2 linked regions of the Styela clava genome follow. The protein of the gene in region 2 interacts with the protein of the main gene of each other region in a pairwise test. Links are inferred from orthologs where the notes say so. Each region holds a gene or a part of one and is shown on either strand. Other genes may lie near its edges.

Region 1 (7,497 bases), on a different chromosome or scaffold from region 2:
ACTACACGATGCTATAAAATAATGTATAATTATTACATAGCCTAAAACGTTTAAATTAACATTAATTCAGTAATTTCAGAATTTCATTAAATTTCCAGATTTCTGTAGGCCTATTTAGTGGAAGTAATTTGGTTAGCGGCAGTAGCGGTGTACAGACATTTAGGAACAGATATTTGGATCCACGATACAGCGATATGGATAACTTATTTTGGTATTACAATGAAAGTGAAGTATTTTATATTATTATTCATGATTTCGTTATCACAGTATCACAATCAGACAATCATAAAACTGTAAAACAGTAAAATTAGAGCAAGCTCGGAAGCTTAAAAGTTCCAACAGAAAAGAGGCAACATGATTCTTTATTTTTAACATCTGGTATCATAAATGCATTCTGGTATCAGACGCAGAATTGATTCGTTTTACAAAAAATGTATAAATCCTGAAATCAGTTGAATTTGCGTGTATTAAGGAGTTTTCAAAATACTTATCTATCTACCCATTTCTTTGCTTAATATGCTTTTGTTAGTCGTTGTTCTGTTCTTATGTTCCATTTCAATGAAATACTTCACTTGTAGTCTGGAACTTCTGCAGTTCTGTAAGCCATTCGTTGTAATGTCAGAATGCTGGAATGTACATTCCTGCATTCAGACTTTCACTAATGTGCCAACTTGGTCTTACTGACTGACTGATGCACTGCTAGGTCAGTTCTGCAGTTACGGAGTTAGTGAAAACACAGCAAATATCACAACGCTCTGCAGTTTGCTGTTGCTGTAATACTGTTTTTGTAAATAATGTAAAAATTGATATTGATAAATTATTCAACTGTAAAATGTACTGTTTTTACAATGGACTATCATGGTATTTTTAATTATAGACAAGTTGACACTAGTTTTTGCCACTAAACATACCACAACCCAGCAACCAGACAGCAGCCGGACGGTTATTTTGAATTCTGCATTATCCATCTACAGATCTATTAGCCACTGCTAAATCATATGTCAGATTCCCATCAGAATATAGATCAAATTGTGTATGGGATTAGTTAACCAATTGTCAGAACTGTTTGTTCCAGGTATGATCTGGATTCAATGCTAGAGATATAAAGTTACAAAAATTAGTCCACACAACATATAATAACGAGCGGTCTTACTACTTACTGAATACAGCGCAAAACAGAGGGAAACAGCGCAAAACACTGTGGAAACAGCGCGAAAGAGCGCAAAACAGAGGGAAACAATGTTAAGCAGAAAAAATTTTTGCAATGAGTTCGGGACACCTTGTTTTGAGTTGGAGTACCACGGCAGCAAATTAAAAACACAAACCAACGTATGTAGCCAGTAATGCTGTAATGGCAGGTCTGCCCCTGCTGGTGACACATTTTGGGTACCATAATTTAGAACATTTTCCATATGGATATGGTTGGCTTTAGGGTTAGGGTTAGGTAAAATGGGACCTCCAGAAGTATGTGCACCAAGATGGCGCACAACCTGAAAATAGTATGTGTGTGTGTGTGTATCGGATTCAGGTTGTGCGACATATTGCTGCACATACTTCTGGAGCACCAAAAAGGTAGATAAAATTTCGCATGATGACCTACCGTATAATCCGGTACATAACCTTGTAAATATACCGGAAATGGCGCCGTGGTTCTTTCGTGGCAAGAGGTGGTAATGACTGCGTCTCCTGTTTTGCGCTGTTTCCCTCTGTTTTGCGCTGGTTTCCTTCTGTTTCGCGCTGTTCCCCTCTCTTTTGCGCTGTTTTCCTCTCTTTTGCGCTGTTTCGCGCTATTTTGCACTGTTTCGCGCTATTTGCGGTGTTTCACGCTGTATTCAGTAAGTAGTAAGACCCAATAACGAGAATATCAGTCAGAGACCAAAGACTTATCGATCGAAAGTTAGTGGATCCCCCAAAACAGAAACTGAGGTTTCGATTCATTTGCTTTGACTCCATAGTGACATTGCGTGTCCCATCACTAATTAATCAATTAATACCTCGCTAATTATACAACATAATTCATCCAAAATCAATAGGCTTCTGGTCCGAAATATGATGAATGCACATGCAAAATTTGGAACAGATTCAACCTCACTTTCGTGAAATAGCGTGATTGTATCTAACAGAGAAACAAACAAACAAATACCTATCAACATACTTACCGATCAAGATCGATAAGTAATAAACCCAATAAAGTAATAATAATAAGTAATAAACCCAATAAAACTTTGAGCTGTATATAGATACTGTAATACAGTAATATGTGCCTCTCAATAATAATAGGATGTACAAGCTGGGAGTTGGGATCATGGAGATAGGTTGGAGAAAGATTTGGGTTGATCAGATTGGAATTGATCAAAGCGTCTAGGGAAGCGATTGGCAAACTGCAGGCCATGGGCCAAAAGCAAAAAAAAATTTGTGGCCTTCTGACGACCTCATTTTCAATGCGTGAAAAAGTTGAAAGGCACAATTGTGTTATTGGTATGTTGTTAACTTGCGTTCTCAACCATTTCAAAGAGCTTAGACAGCAAAACATTTCGTTATTAAGCATTAGTCAAATCCTTTTTGCTTGATGTGCCAAACCAGCATTGCACTTATGTACTGCTGATATCGTCAACAAAGTGACCAGCTAATTTTATTGCTGAGAAACGGCCGAATATACTTCAGTACAGCCATCATTCAAAGGTTCAATAAGGTGATTGTTCATAATCTGAAATTAATGTGGCCCGTAGGTCACCCGAAATGTTCATATTTGGCCCAGTAGTACATAAGTTTGCCAACTCCTAGTCTATGTCGTATAAATCATACACTAACTTTGGTACATGATGCCAAATACAGGGTTATCAGACCAAGTGTAGACAAATGTTTAATAAAATATCTATAATATAAATCTACAATAATAAATCAGCAAATAAGGGAGCGTTCGTGATAGCGGCTTACACTGATCAAAGTGTATTTGTCCGAGGATAAGATGTATTGTGGAGTAACGCGCAAAATGACAAAAACATGCCCGTTTTGTTTTAGGTGGAGAGTTACTGGCGAGAGCAATAAAAGACAAGAACTAGTAGCGCTATAAACGCCGTTTAGCGAATACAAAAGTTGATTGTTGCAATAATTCAAAGCTGCTTTTGAACCACTCGAAGAGGTCCTGTGTATCAGTAGTGGTGTGCGTAACTCAGATTGAGAACAACTGCTCTAAGGCATAGATTGATAACTTGTTTGGACAAAATTTTAGAAGAAGCCATACGTGCCTCGTGTAGTCAAGTTCTAATCAGATCGATGTGTGAAGGCAAAGGAAGGATATTTCGGAAAATAACAATAAATTCTATTATTTTTATTATTATGCTATTTTCTGCAAAATATTTTTTTCTCTCTCACATTCATATTGTAGATATTTTAATAAACATTTGTCTACACTTGGTCTGATCACCCTGTACAAAAGCATGTAAAATTGTAAAGAAAATAAATGTATTTTAATGATCCAATAGCATAAATGTTGAGATGTGAGTCATTATTACAGTAATGAAAACATGGGTTTTATTTTATGATGATGCATTACATAATTGTGGTTATTCCAAGTTATCTTCAGTCGGAGAGATAATTTAAAAAAAATGTTTCATAGACCAGAAAGTGGAAATACTAGGTTAAGTTATTCTGAACTAAAACGAACATTCAAATTCCATTCTAATGTTTCCTTTTTGAAAAATGTGGCGACTACTGGATGTTAATCATCTAATGCTCGGAATCACTTTTTCCTGTAGAGAGAGTGTAATGTGGCAATTCTTGCCTGTTTGCAATTCAAGGGTTCTTGTCACGACAAAACCATGACCCGGCGTCATTCTAGGCACTTCACAGTATTGTTGAGACAACATGCTACAGTGATTTTCAGACATGTGTTGTTATTGTGTTCCTGTAATTATAAGTTATACTGGTATGCTATGGTCAGTATGAAATGGAATATTATGTGGCCCTTCATCCCCAAAAGGTCAAAGTACATAATTTGGGATACAGAAATACAAATATTTGGCCCACTGTTATTCTTGTTTCATTGCCTCATTTTATTTATTAACCTGGGAGGCAGTGGTTTTTTCACCTTTTTCTTAGATTTGCAAAAGGCTTAAAACAATTACGGTAAATAAAATACAGTAATGCTGAAACAAGAAATTTCATTTTAAAAAACTTTTATGTGGTTACCAATTGCCATCCATACATTCACACTCAAACAACAAATTATAGAATTCTCTTACTGAATACTGGTACAATTTTCAGAGATATCGTTTTCATTTTTAAAAACTGGTGTATTGGCTTATCACAGAATTAATATATTTTGGTTTAAAAAGTTACTGTCTTATCATCTGAGATTTGTAGACTAATAGTTATTTTATTTGATAGTATTCCTGTGAGGATGTGAACCTTATTCTGATACTCAGAAATTATTTCTTGTGTTTTCTTCCTTATTCATTTTCTAATGAAATATTTATTTCTTATAAAAGATTCAGGTTTCAAGTTGTATAAGTACTCAAGTAGAGCATTATATAAAATATCTTGGTATATTCGTACTTGGTGGATATAAAACTTCTTGTGGAAATTGTGTTTTCTGTTGCCCACTTGCTGCACTGTGTAAGGTAAGCTTTTTCGATACATTTTTTTTGTCCAACTCATTATAAATTTACGTTCTGTTGAAATTTTGTTCATAATTCTCAGTCAAAAAACCGAATTCATCTAAGTTGAAATTGGATATGAAGCCAAGTTTGAGATAGCTATGTTGACCCAAGTGTAGCAAGTGTAATAATTTAATCTTCTTGAATATAGTCTTGATGAATCAAGTTGTGTAAAGGGACTGAAGCCTATGGGCAGGCAGTATATTCACTTGGCTAACAAAAACAGTCCCTGTACTTGTAATAGATGTAAAATAAGGAAAATTGAAAGAAAATTATGGCCTAACCCTAACTTCGTTCGCATACTATGGGCGTACCGATTTATGTTGGCTAATGATAAATTCTAATCCACTGAGTTCTGCATCCTAGTAGCCCTGTTCTATATTGCTTTGTTATAAAAATAAATCGTAATTGTGTTATTACATAAATTTGTGTGGTGTATGTCTGCCTATCCTTGTAAATTTTCAAGTATTCTATTCGTATCTAAATGTTTCAAATATTTGGCTGAACCAAAGCGTGACTAATTGTCATCTCAGACCTCAGTCTAATTCAAAATCAGATAGTTCATCCTGTTCTTTTGTTCAATGAACGGCAGACATATTAATCTTCTTTAAATGTTTTTTTTTACTAATGAAAAGAATGCTTCCTTCCACTAGTTATCATAAGCTGTTATTATTATTATTAAGTAAATTTTTCAAATTCTTTTAGGTAGATCACACCAACTGGAAGGATGCGAGAGTACAAGTTGGTTGTGCTCGGTTCTGGAGGTGTTGGGAAAAGTGCATTGGTAAGTGTTAGCCTGAATTCCTTCTGTAGTCCTTGACAATGGATTAAAATTATGGTATTTAAATTGATAGAACTCTCAAAATTTATTTCATTTTTCATAATCAAGTCAGTATTTATTTGAATATATATATTTTGGTTAGTCAAGACTCAAGACAAGACATATATAAAGAAATTCTTGCTCGGCCAATTTTTTGGATCTGAAACATATCAATGAAATTTAAATGTGGGCGATTCTTGAAATGTGAAAAAGTTTGTTAATCATTCCCAAATGGTATCTATCTGCGTAATGTTTTGTGGCTATTCAATAAATTTTGTCAAGTTTCCTCATGCCGAGCATTCAATAATTGAGTTGTTTTTCACAGACAGTGCAATTCGTACAAGGAATATTTGTTGAAAAATATGATCCTACAATAGAAGATAGCTATAGAAAGGTTTGCTTTTCCATTGATTTTTTTTAATTAGTGGCTTGATATTAATAGCATTATCAGTAATTGATGACCATTGATTAATGAAAAAACATTAATGCACACAGTAAGAATATGTCTGTAATTTAAAATACTCAAATGTTGAATTGTGCTTTAACCAATGTTCACAAAATTTAAGTCTTTACAACTACATAACTAATTTGGCTGTAGTCATGTTCAGGCTTATTTCAGAATGTATGTTGATGGGCGTATACCTTATTATTTATTGATTTTATATAGTTACAGTTATCGTATATATGTTAAAAAATGGTTTGTGGAAGCAAAGAAATTGATTAAATATATTACCTATGTAATCGAGGGTATATTTAATGTACATCGGTATATATAAACAGCCTGTTTATATGAACATCATGGTACAGAACCTTCTTAGTTACGATATGATACCATGAACTTATGGTATGGTTGTTTGGATAGTGAAAATTATCATTATTTCTGTCGAGTTTGTCTTTTCCGGGGTATTGTATCAAGATTTTTCTACCAGTAGATCTATTTCAAACATAACTATTCTTAGCTGTGCAAGGAAGAAGTGGTTTCTGTCCGAGAAATTTAGTACTGATGATCTTTTCAAGTAATATTGTTTATAATATATTTTCACTGTCTACTTTTGTGTATTACAGCAAGTTGAAACAGATAACCAGCAATGTATGTTAGAAATCCTGGACACGGCAGGGACGGTATGATTTGTTTTTTCTTTCTCTTGAATTCTTGGTTTCAAAGCTAGTGAAATTATAAGTTGATGGTCCTTAAACAGCTTTTATTCTGAATGATTATTATATTTTATTAAGTCTTATATACTTCAAACTGCACTTAACAGCCTAGCTTGTCTTTTTATTATCTTTCCATCTGTGTCAATATTGAAAAAATTCAAGGTGTATGGAAAACGTGTAATTATAATACCTCTTTATTTGCAAAGTGTATTATCTCAGTACGTTGCCATCAACGCAGTTTGTGCTTGAGTCAACAGTCACACGTTGTCATTCCAACCAAAACAGTGAAATTGTCAGTAATTATATCGTGTGGTTCCAATGCCTTCTAATCAAAATACAGGTTCTATTGCTTTCTTTAATCTTTTGTGCAGTCGTCAAACTTTCATTATGGATATATGACTGGTTTTTGTGTGTCTAAGCTTGATTGATTGTCTCAAATGGAAAATAGGATTGCTATGACCTTATGGGAAGTCAAAACTTCTCTATTTCCTGGTGAAATTTAATAAATATCCTCTTACATTCAAACACATTTTATTAGGTTATACAAATTCTTTCGGAGTAGATTTCATAAGAATTTTGTTCCTTATTGTTTTATCAGCAGTCAAACAAGCCAAGCTTTCGCATTGCTGTGCCTCTTAGTTTAGAAGACGAATAAGTTTTGATTACATACATATGCATTTTTCCTTGTCAATTCAATATGATGTAATTTTATTTATGACCCAAAATGGAGTGTGAACTGTTGTCACCTAGTAGGCATATTCAATCGTTTATGTAATGTTAAAACTCATCAAATTTGATATTTTAATTCAGCACTGTTGCGAAATATATCAGTATATTAGCACCGACATCTAGTAGTATCAGGGC
Region 2 (6,893 bases):
TGCCGCCACCAGATCAGGTTGGATTAACGAGGAAACGTTTGTCAACTATCTCTATCACTTCATTAAGCATACACGCTGTGTACCCGACCGAAAGGTATTGCTCATCTTAGACAATCACGAGTCCCACGTTTCACTAAAAGCTGTTGACAAGGCGAAGACGAGCAGAGTTGTGGTGTTGACCATTCCTACATACACGTCCCACAAACTCCAGCCTTTAGACAAGACTGTTTATGAACCATACAAAAGCGACTACGCGCGCGCGATGAATAATTGGATGAGGTCCAATCCGGGTAAGACTGTGTCTATACACGATATTGCTCATTTGGTGAACGAAGCTCCCATCTGCGCTTTTGTACTGCGTAATATCCTAGCTGGCTTTCACAGCACTGGAATTATGCCTTTCAACAGCGACGTATTCTTGGATGAAGAATATGCCTCATCTTCAGTTACAGAACGCGAGTTTGCTCGGCAGTAGACAATGTTGAAAATGCGTCAGGTTTACAGAGTAATCCTGATACTCCCACGTACCAAAAAGATAACACAATTCAATCAAGCTGGCGTTGAGACCAATATTGGCTTGACTGGAGCAGAGCAGACTAGCAACGCAGAGACTTTTTATGTGTTTCCAGGTGATAAAAATACTACCTTTACCCAATGCAGGACTAAGGAAGGTGAAAGCTTCCAATAGGAAAAAAAGGAAGCTCGGAAATTTTGACAGACACACCAGTTAGAAATGAAATAGCAGCAAATCAGTGGCTAGATTAGAATAAAATAGAGCAAAGAACTACGGTCGGGTTAAAAAATGCTCTTTGCAAACAAGGAAACAGTTAGAGTGAGGGTAGCACCATCCGGATGCACCACTTCGAGCTAAAGTGAATCTGACGGGAATGTATTGTGCGATGATACTGATGACACAGGAGAAGAAAATCAAAATATTATTGAAGGCGATTTTGTCATAGTCAAGATAAGTGGAAAATCTCGAATTGTTCAATACGTCGCAAGAGTTGATGCTTTTGAAGGAGTGTTTCTCCGCCTGGTTTTAAGCGTAAATGACGGAACTACCTTTATTCTGGATGTCGAAGATGAAGCACTTTGGTCGAAGAAAGACATCGCAAGAAAATTAGCCATCCCCAGCATTATTGGAACTTCACACGTCGTTCACGTTCTCATTGAGGATATATAACTAATTGTATAAAAAATGGCTCATCTCTCCCGCATCTCCCCTACTCTGCGTGGGTTCGCAGGTTCGAAGCCCATTCAGGGATAGTTATGTGCGAGAGGATTGCTGGACTCCTCGCTGCCGTAGGGTGGTTCACGTAACCGCGTACGGCTTCCCCGACCATCAATTCTATGCTTCCAGAAACAATTAACTAACTAATTCTATACCCGACATGAAATGGTAACCGGACGAGAGGCCGTGGTTCGCCATGTGGTTAAGCGTAAATATATACTACTACGGGTTAAGCCATATTATCGACTTTCCCTTCCCCGGGATAAATATGTAAATCCTAATCCTTGGTAGAGATGTATGTCGCACATCTGTGTCTTGGGCCAGTAAGGGTTTTAACATGTATCCCGTATTTTTTACGCTGTTTAATTGATATGCAGATACTGTTACATTTTGAGGCAAATAAACATACATACTTATTATTTGGGTATCTCAAATCCGGTTCAACGAACCGGTTCTCCTCTGTCTGATCCAATGACTCTCCCTTACTTTCGGCAGGTTTATCTGTTGGTTTACTGGTTTATTGTCCTCGCTTTCCCGACTGAGCTACCCGAATACTTTTGAGTTGATGCTTTGTACAGCTTTACAGGCTCTATGGAATTCTATCATTTCAGTTGAACCAATGGACTTTTGGAACAACGCCAGAGTACCGGTACGGTACCGCTACCGGAGCTGACACAGACACGTAAGTTAAATTCAAAGTTACCGGTACCGTACCCTGTACCGGTACTTGTTTGGCTGTACGGTACGGCGTTATCCTGTTATTCCTGTACGCTGGTACCATTCTGGTGTTGTGATATCATTTTTATGAAATTGCAGTACTGCAGTACGTATTTTAGTTCAGTTTTATTTTCACTTTATTCCTTCAGAACTTTGAGATACGATTGGTTACCGGTACCGTATCTTTTGTCTCAATGTTTATTTTACAGATTGGTAGTAGTCTAAATTCTGAAATTGTATACCGTAGCTTAGATGGTGTTTCTGTGTAGTTTTATCTATTTATTTCCCAGATAATAAATTATGGATTCAGAATAGTTTGTGATCATCAGAAAGGGCACAGTTCTCCAATTCTAAGATGTCCCGACATTTGGTTTAATGAAACAAACACACTATTTGTCTCTTAAACGAGGGCGTCTGGCCCGACGGCGGATGCGTCAGATTGTGCCATGCTTGTCTCAATAATAATCTAAATTAGTCGCAGTAGTCACAGGACCTGAAAACTTTCAAATGCTACGTTAAAAAAATTCTCCTCCATTGAATTGGATCCTTTTTTTATGAAGAATCTAATAATTTTAAATTGCGCTTCCTGTTAGTTTATTGCAAAAGGCTGGTTTGTCGATTTATGTCAATATGGTGGCCTAGATGGTCTTGTAAAGGAGTGGTTTTCACTCACTGTTATAATTGATGGAAGGAAGCTTCAGCATAAAAGCCGACAGCAAGCACAGAATAAAAGATAATTCATATTACAGTATTACTGACTGTGGGACTTTTCTTTGAAAAAATAACCCGATTTACCTAAGGAAAAAATTTTTTACCGTGGCATTTGAGAGTTTTTAAGAAAAAACACCAATTTTGATCACATGATGGCCACGGTTAATTAGATTATTATTGAGACAAGCATGGCGCAATATGACTCATCTGCCGTCGTGCCAGACGCCCCTCATTTGTGAGACACTTGGAGTGTTTGTTTTATTGAACTAAATGGAGGGAAACTCTTGGAATTTGGATAGTGTGCCAGACTGTACTGCTGTACAACGAACCGATTGTCCTCTGTTCGATCTTATAAGAGGGTAATGAGCTGAAACACAGCATATTGTTAGAGTACAAGCATAATATATCTTTGCACCTGCTTCTGAATGACATCTTTCAGCTTAAAGAAGCGGGGCTTTCTAACTCCATTTTTATCGCTATTCAAATATTATTTCATATTCTTTCATTTTCTTATCACTATAATTTACAAAGAACATGCGATTTTGAAGTGCTTGGTAACAACTGTTTAAAGTTGTATTGAATCTAATTAGTCTGTAATATATCATTAACTGTGTCCCCCCAAGGTGTGTCAAATTGTCGCAGCAGATAGATTTTTTATGGGCTCTGAAATGCCAGACTGTAAACGCTAGACTGTTGTGCAACTGCAAGTACACTATTCCAGTTGTTGACTTTGAGCGCGTGTGTAATGTTAACTCTTGGATGTGGCAAATTGATTTATTTGCACTGGGTAAGGGAAATGTCAGTCTATACATTGTGTGAAAATTGTGAGGGGAGCACTGCTAGTTCAAGAAGTTGCTCACAAACTTGGTAAATCAAAGAACAAACAATATTAAGCCATATGCCCTTTGTTTTATGCTTGTTAGCAGAAAATATAATATTGTCATTTTAGTTTATCGATGTTAGTATCACCAGTGTTAAAAAAATCACAGATTCAGTGGTGATTCACTGCTCAGTGCCATTGCCCAACTCATTGAATGACTCGCATTGTCATTTCAACGATTTCCCTTTTTCTACCCCAATTTATCTTATCATATAATTTGTAACAATTTTGTTTTTTTGAAGCAATCCTTTTGAATAAAAACATTACACTAGCATAAAACTATACGAGCATGTGTACCAGGAGCTCATAGATGACTATAAAACACTAATATAAACCTTGCTATGACAGATGAAATATTACTAAATTAACCAATCAACTGATTAATAATGAAAAGTTATGTTTGAATATTTGATGACATATCACTGAACAGCACACTAGTAAATGCTGTATGGTTGGATCTTCTAAAAGAATGTCAACCATGACTCAACCTCTCTTTTCATCAGAGGGGAGGAGATCAAGTGACATCAGGAAGATACAGGAAGATGTGAGTGCATTGTTTAATATAGATCTGAAATATGTAATCGAAATTCTGTGTTGTATTCTGAATCCCAAAATGTGGCAGTTTATTTTGTATTCATGAAGGTTTGTTACATATTTCATATCTGGCTAACAATAAAATTAAAAGCCTTGTTTATGTTTCAACTTATCTTTGTCATATTTGCTGTTGTTCAAGAATGATTTGTGCCTAATTATTTTCCTCTTGTATTTTTACATTATCCTCCACAGACTTAAAAAGTGCATTTTTAAAATTTCATAAAAATGCAAGTGACCAAAATGCAGACAATGTCATACCAATATCACTTTTTATTTTACAAAATAACTGTTTTTTAACTGAGTTTTTTTATATAATATCAATCAGAACAATTTTTCAGGAAACTATGAATTTTTGAATCCGAATTCTACCCAATTTTCACTGACAAGTCCACTGACAATACTGGTTCCTCAGATGCCAAGAAGTTCGCTAGCCGTCCTCTAACAATATTTTGAGTGTAATGACTAATGATTCATATAATGATATTTCAGCTTCAAAATTTGAATGAAGTAATCAGATTGACCAAAGATTCCATTATCCGACTGAATGATAAATTTGGTGGAAATACGAACCCTCCGCCTATTTATCTTGAAGTAAGTATTCTCATTGATCATTGGTTGTGTATCTTTATGGTGGTTAGGCAAGCTGTTCTCATATTTCAGGATTTATCAAAATATCTGGTTTTTTGAACGAAGACTATTCTCCTTTTTATTCTTTGTAACGGCTTGAAGTTCAAAAGCCTCAGCAAGTACAATGAAATTGGTTTTGCAATAGATTTATTGGAACAGCTATGCTGGCTTCATTGTGGTTTCTGAAACTAATTTTGAATAGAAACCATAACCTGGTATCCAATCCAAATATCCAATCCAATCCAATCAGGCATAAATGAAGTAGATCAATCCCTTAATTAAGCAATAACTTTTTTTTAAAAAGCCAAGTTGAATTAAATTCATATTATGGTGTTTTTCATCAGTGTTCGCACTGACTAACATTTGCAAATGATGCCTGCAAAGATGAGAATCTATTTAAGGCTACTTATTATCTCTATCTTGATTTGCTGGATTTCAACCATGCATTAATTATTGATATGCAATGTAATTTGCTGTAGATGAAGTGGTTTGATTAATATCATGCCTGGGGTGTAGATAAAATAACTTCTGCCAGATACATCTTTACAAAAATCAATCTTTGTTTTACATAAACTTAATCTTCTCCCTCCTTCCAGAGGGAGCAGAATTTGAATGTCTTTTATTATTCCCTGTTCTAAATTTATATTTGCTATCTCTGATCAACGAAGCCTTTGTGTCAATATTATTGTTTTTGCAACTTTTTTCACTATATAAACGCCATGCTTTAATTTGACCTGTTATACTAAATATATCATGTGAAAATAGTGCATTTTAGTTATCAATATCTTGCTCAGGATTGGATGCAAGTATATTACTTCCTACATAACCAAAAATCATTGATATCAATGAATTCTTGTGAAAAGCGCAAAATTTTCCATAGTTTTATTTTTATGCTCATTTACCAGTGAGGTATATTACTGAGTGTAACTACCGTGAATTTCTTTTCTTATTCCAGGAATATCGTGAGTTAACGGACAAACTCGGGGATCTTCAAACAAGGCACCATAATCTCACTGATGTTTTGGAACAACAATTATTACAAGGTAAACAATATTTCATATATTCAGATTTCGAGTTTGGAGCGAAGATAACTAAAGCCAATTTTTCAACTTTCCTGTATTCATTTCAGAGAAAATCTACACAATAAGTATACTGTCTGCTGCTATATGTTAATATTTTTGTTTCAATGTAATCCAGTTTCATGCATGGATGCTATTTTCTATTTTCATGTTGTATTTTCAGTCAATTATTAGCATAAGTTTATGATATTTTATTCGGCAATTCAATAGAATTAATGATTTATTGATATTTGATTCTAGAGCAGTGTAAAACTATTTTAATTGGAATGTAAATGTTTTACAGGATCACAAACTAACTCATTTTCACAAGAACCATCCGGGGTGCAAACACTACCGGGCAACAGAATATTTTTCCCACCTGGTCCACAGTACGTTGGCACTGGTAAGTCGTTAATTTTAAATAGACATTTTGGATATAAATTGGATCTCACTGTAATTCTAGAAACTTGTATTCTAGGGTGTATATATGCAGATATTTATTGTGACTCAATTACAATGACTCTAACGTAAAACGTTAGTACTCCCGTAGTGTGTGTACCAGGTTAGGGTTGGGCCATAATTTTATTCAGATTTTTCTTCTAGAAACTTGTAATCTAGGGTGTATATATGCAGATATTTATTGTGACTCAATTACAATGACTCTAACGTAAAACGTTAGTACTCCCGTAGTGTGTGTACCAGGTTAGGGTTGGGCCATAATTTTATTCAGATTTTTCTTTTTTAAGTTCTATTACAAGTTCCGGGACTGTCTGTGTTAGCCAAGTGAATATACCCCCTGCCCATCGGCTTCCATTCCTTTACCCAACTTTATGTAAAGTAGACAAACAAAATTAGTTACCTTCATATTGGTACACATACTTCTGAAGCGTCAACTTTGGCGAACCATGATATTTTAAATTTCATTTAGATAAATACGAAAGTTTGGATATGATGATTGAGTTGAACATAAATAAATTTGTTTCATTGTTAAAACTGTAAAACTAATATTATTACCTCCTATTTCTAGTTAATGGAAGGAATCACTACCCCCTTAGTGGTTTAGGAATTTTTTTCA

Evidence for each region. The genes of interacting proteins can lie anywhere in the genome.
Region 1: the proteins of RAF proto-oncogene serine/threonine-protein kinase-like (region 2) and ras-related protein Rap-1b-like interact in a two-hybrid assay, tested with the Drosophila melanogaster proteins (2 studies listed by BioGRID). The link is inferred for Styela clava from reciprocal best matches to the Drosophila melanogaster genes Raf and Rap1.

The regions. Positions count from the first base shown.
Region 1 is NC_135258.1:19,422,277-19,429,773, reverse strand, and holds the start of ras-related protein Rap-1b-like, read left to right. Parts: upstream 1-4,466; 5' UTR 4,467-4,622; intron 4,623-5,363; 5' UTR 5,364-5,385; coding exon 5,386-5,442; intron 5,443-5,803; coding exon 5,804-5,872; intron 5,873-6,543; coding exon 6,544-6,600; intron 6,601-7,497. UniProt on the Drosophila melanogaster protein: Ras proteins bind GDP/GTP and possess intrinsic GTPase activity. Plays a role in photoreceptor cell determination.
Region 2 is NC_135256.1:7,211,621-7,218,513, reverse strand, and holds the start of RAF proto-oncogene serine/threonine-protein kinase-like, read left to right. Parts: upstream 1-3,887; 5' UTR 3,888-3,987; coding exon 3,988-4,083; intron 4,084-4,622; coding exon 4,623-4,724; intron 4,725-5,715; coding exon 5,716-5,803; intron 5,804-6,122; coding exon 6,123-6,221; intron 6,222-6,893.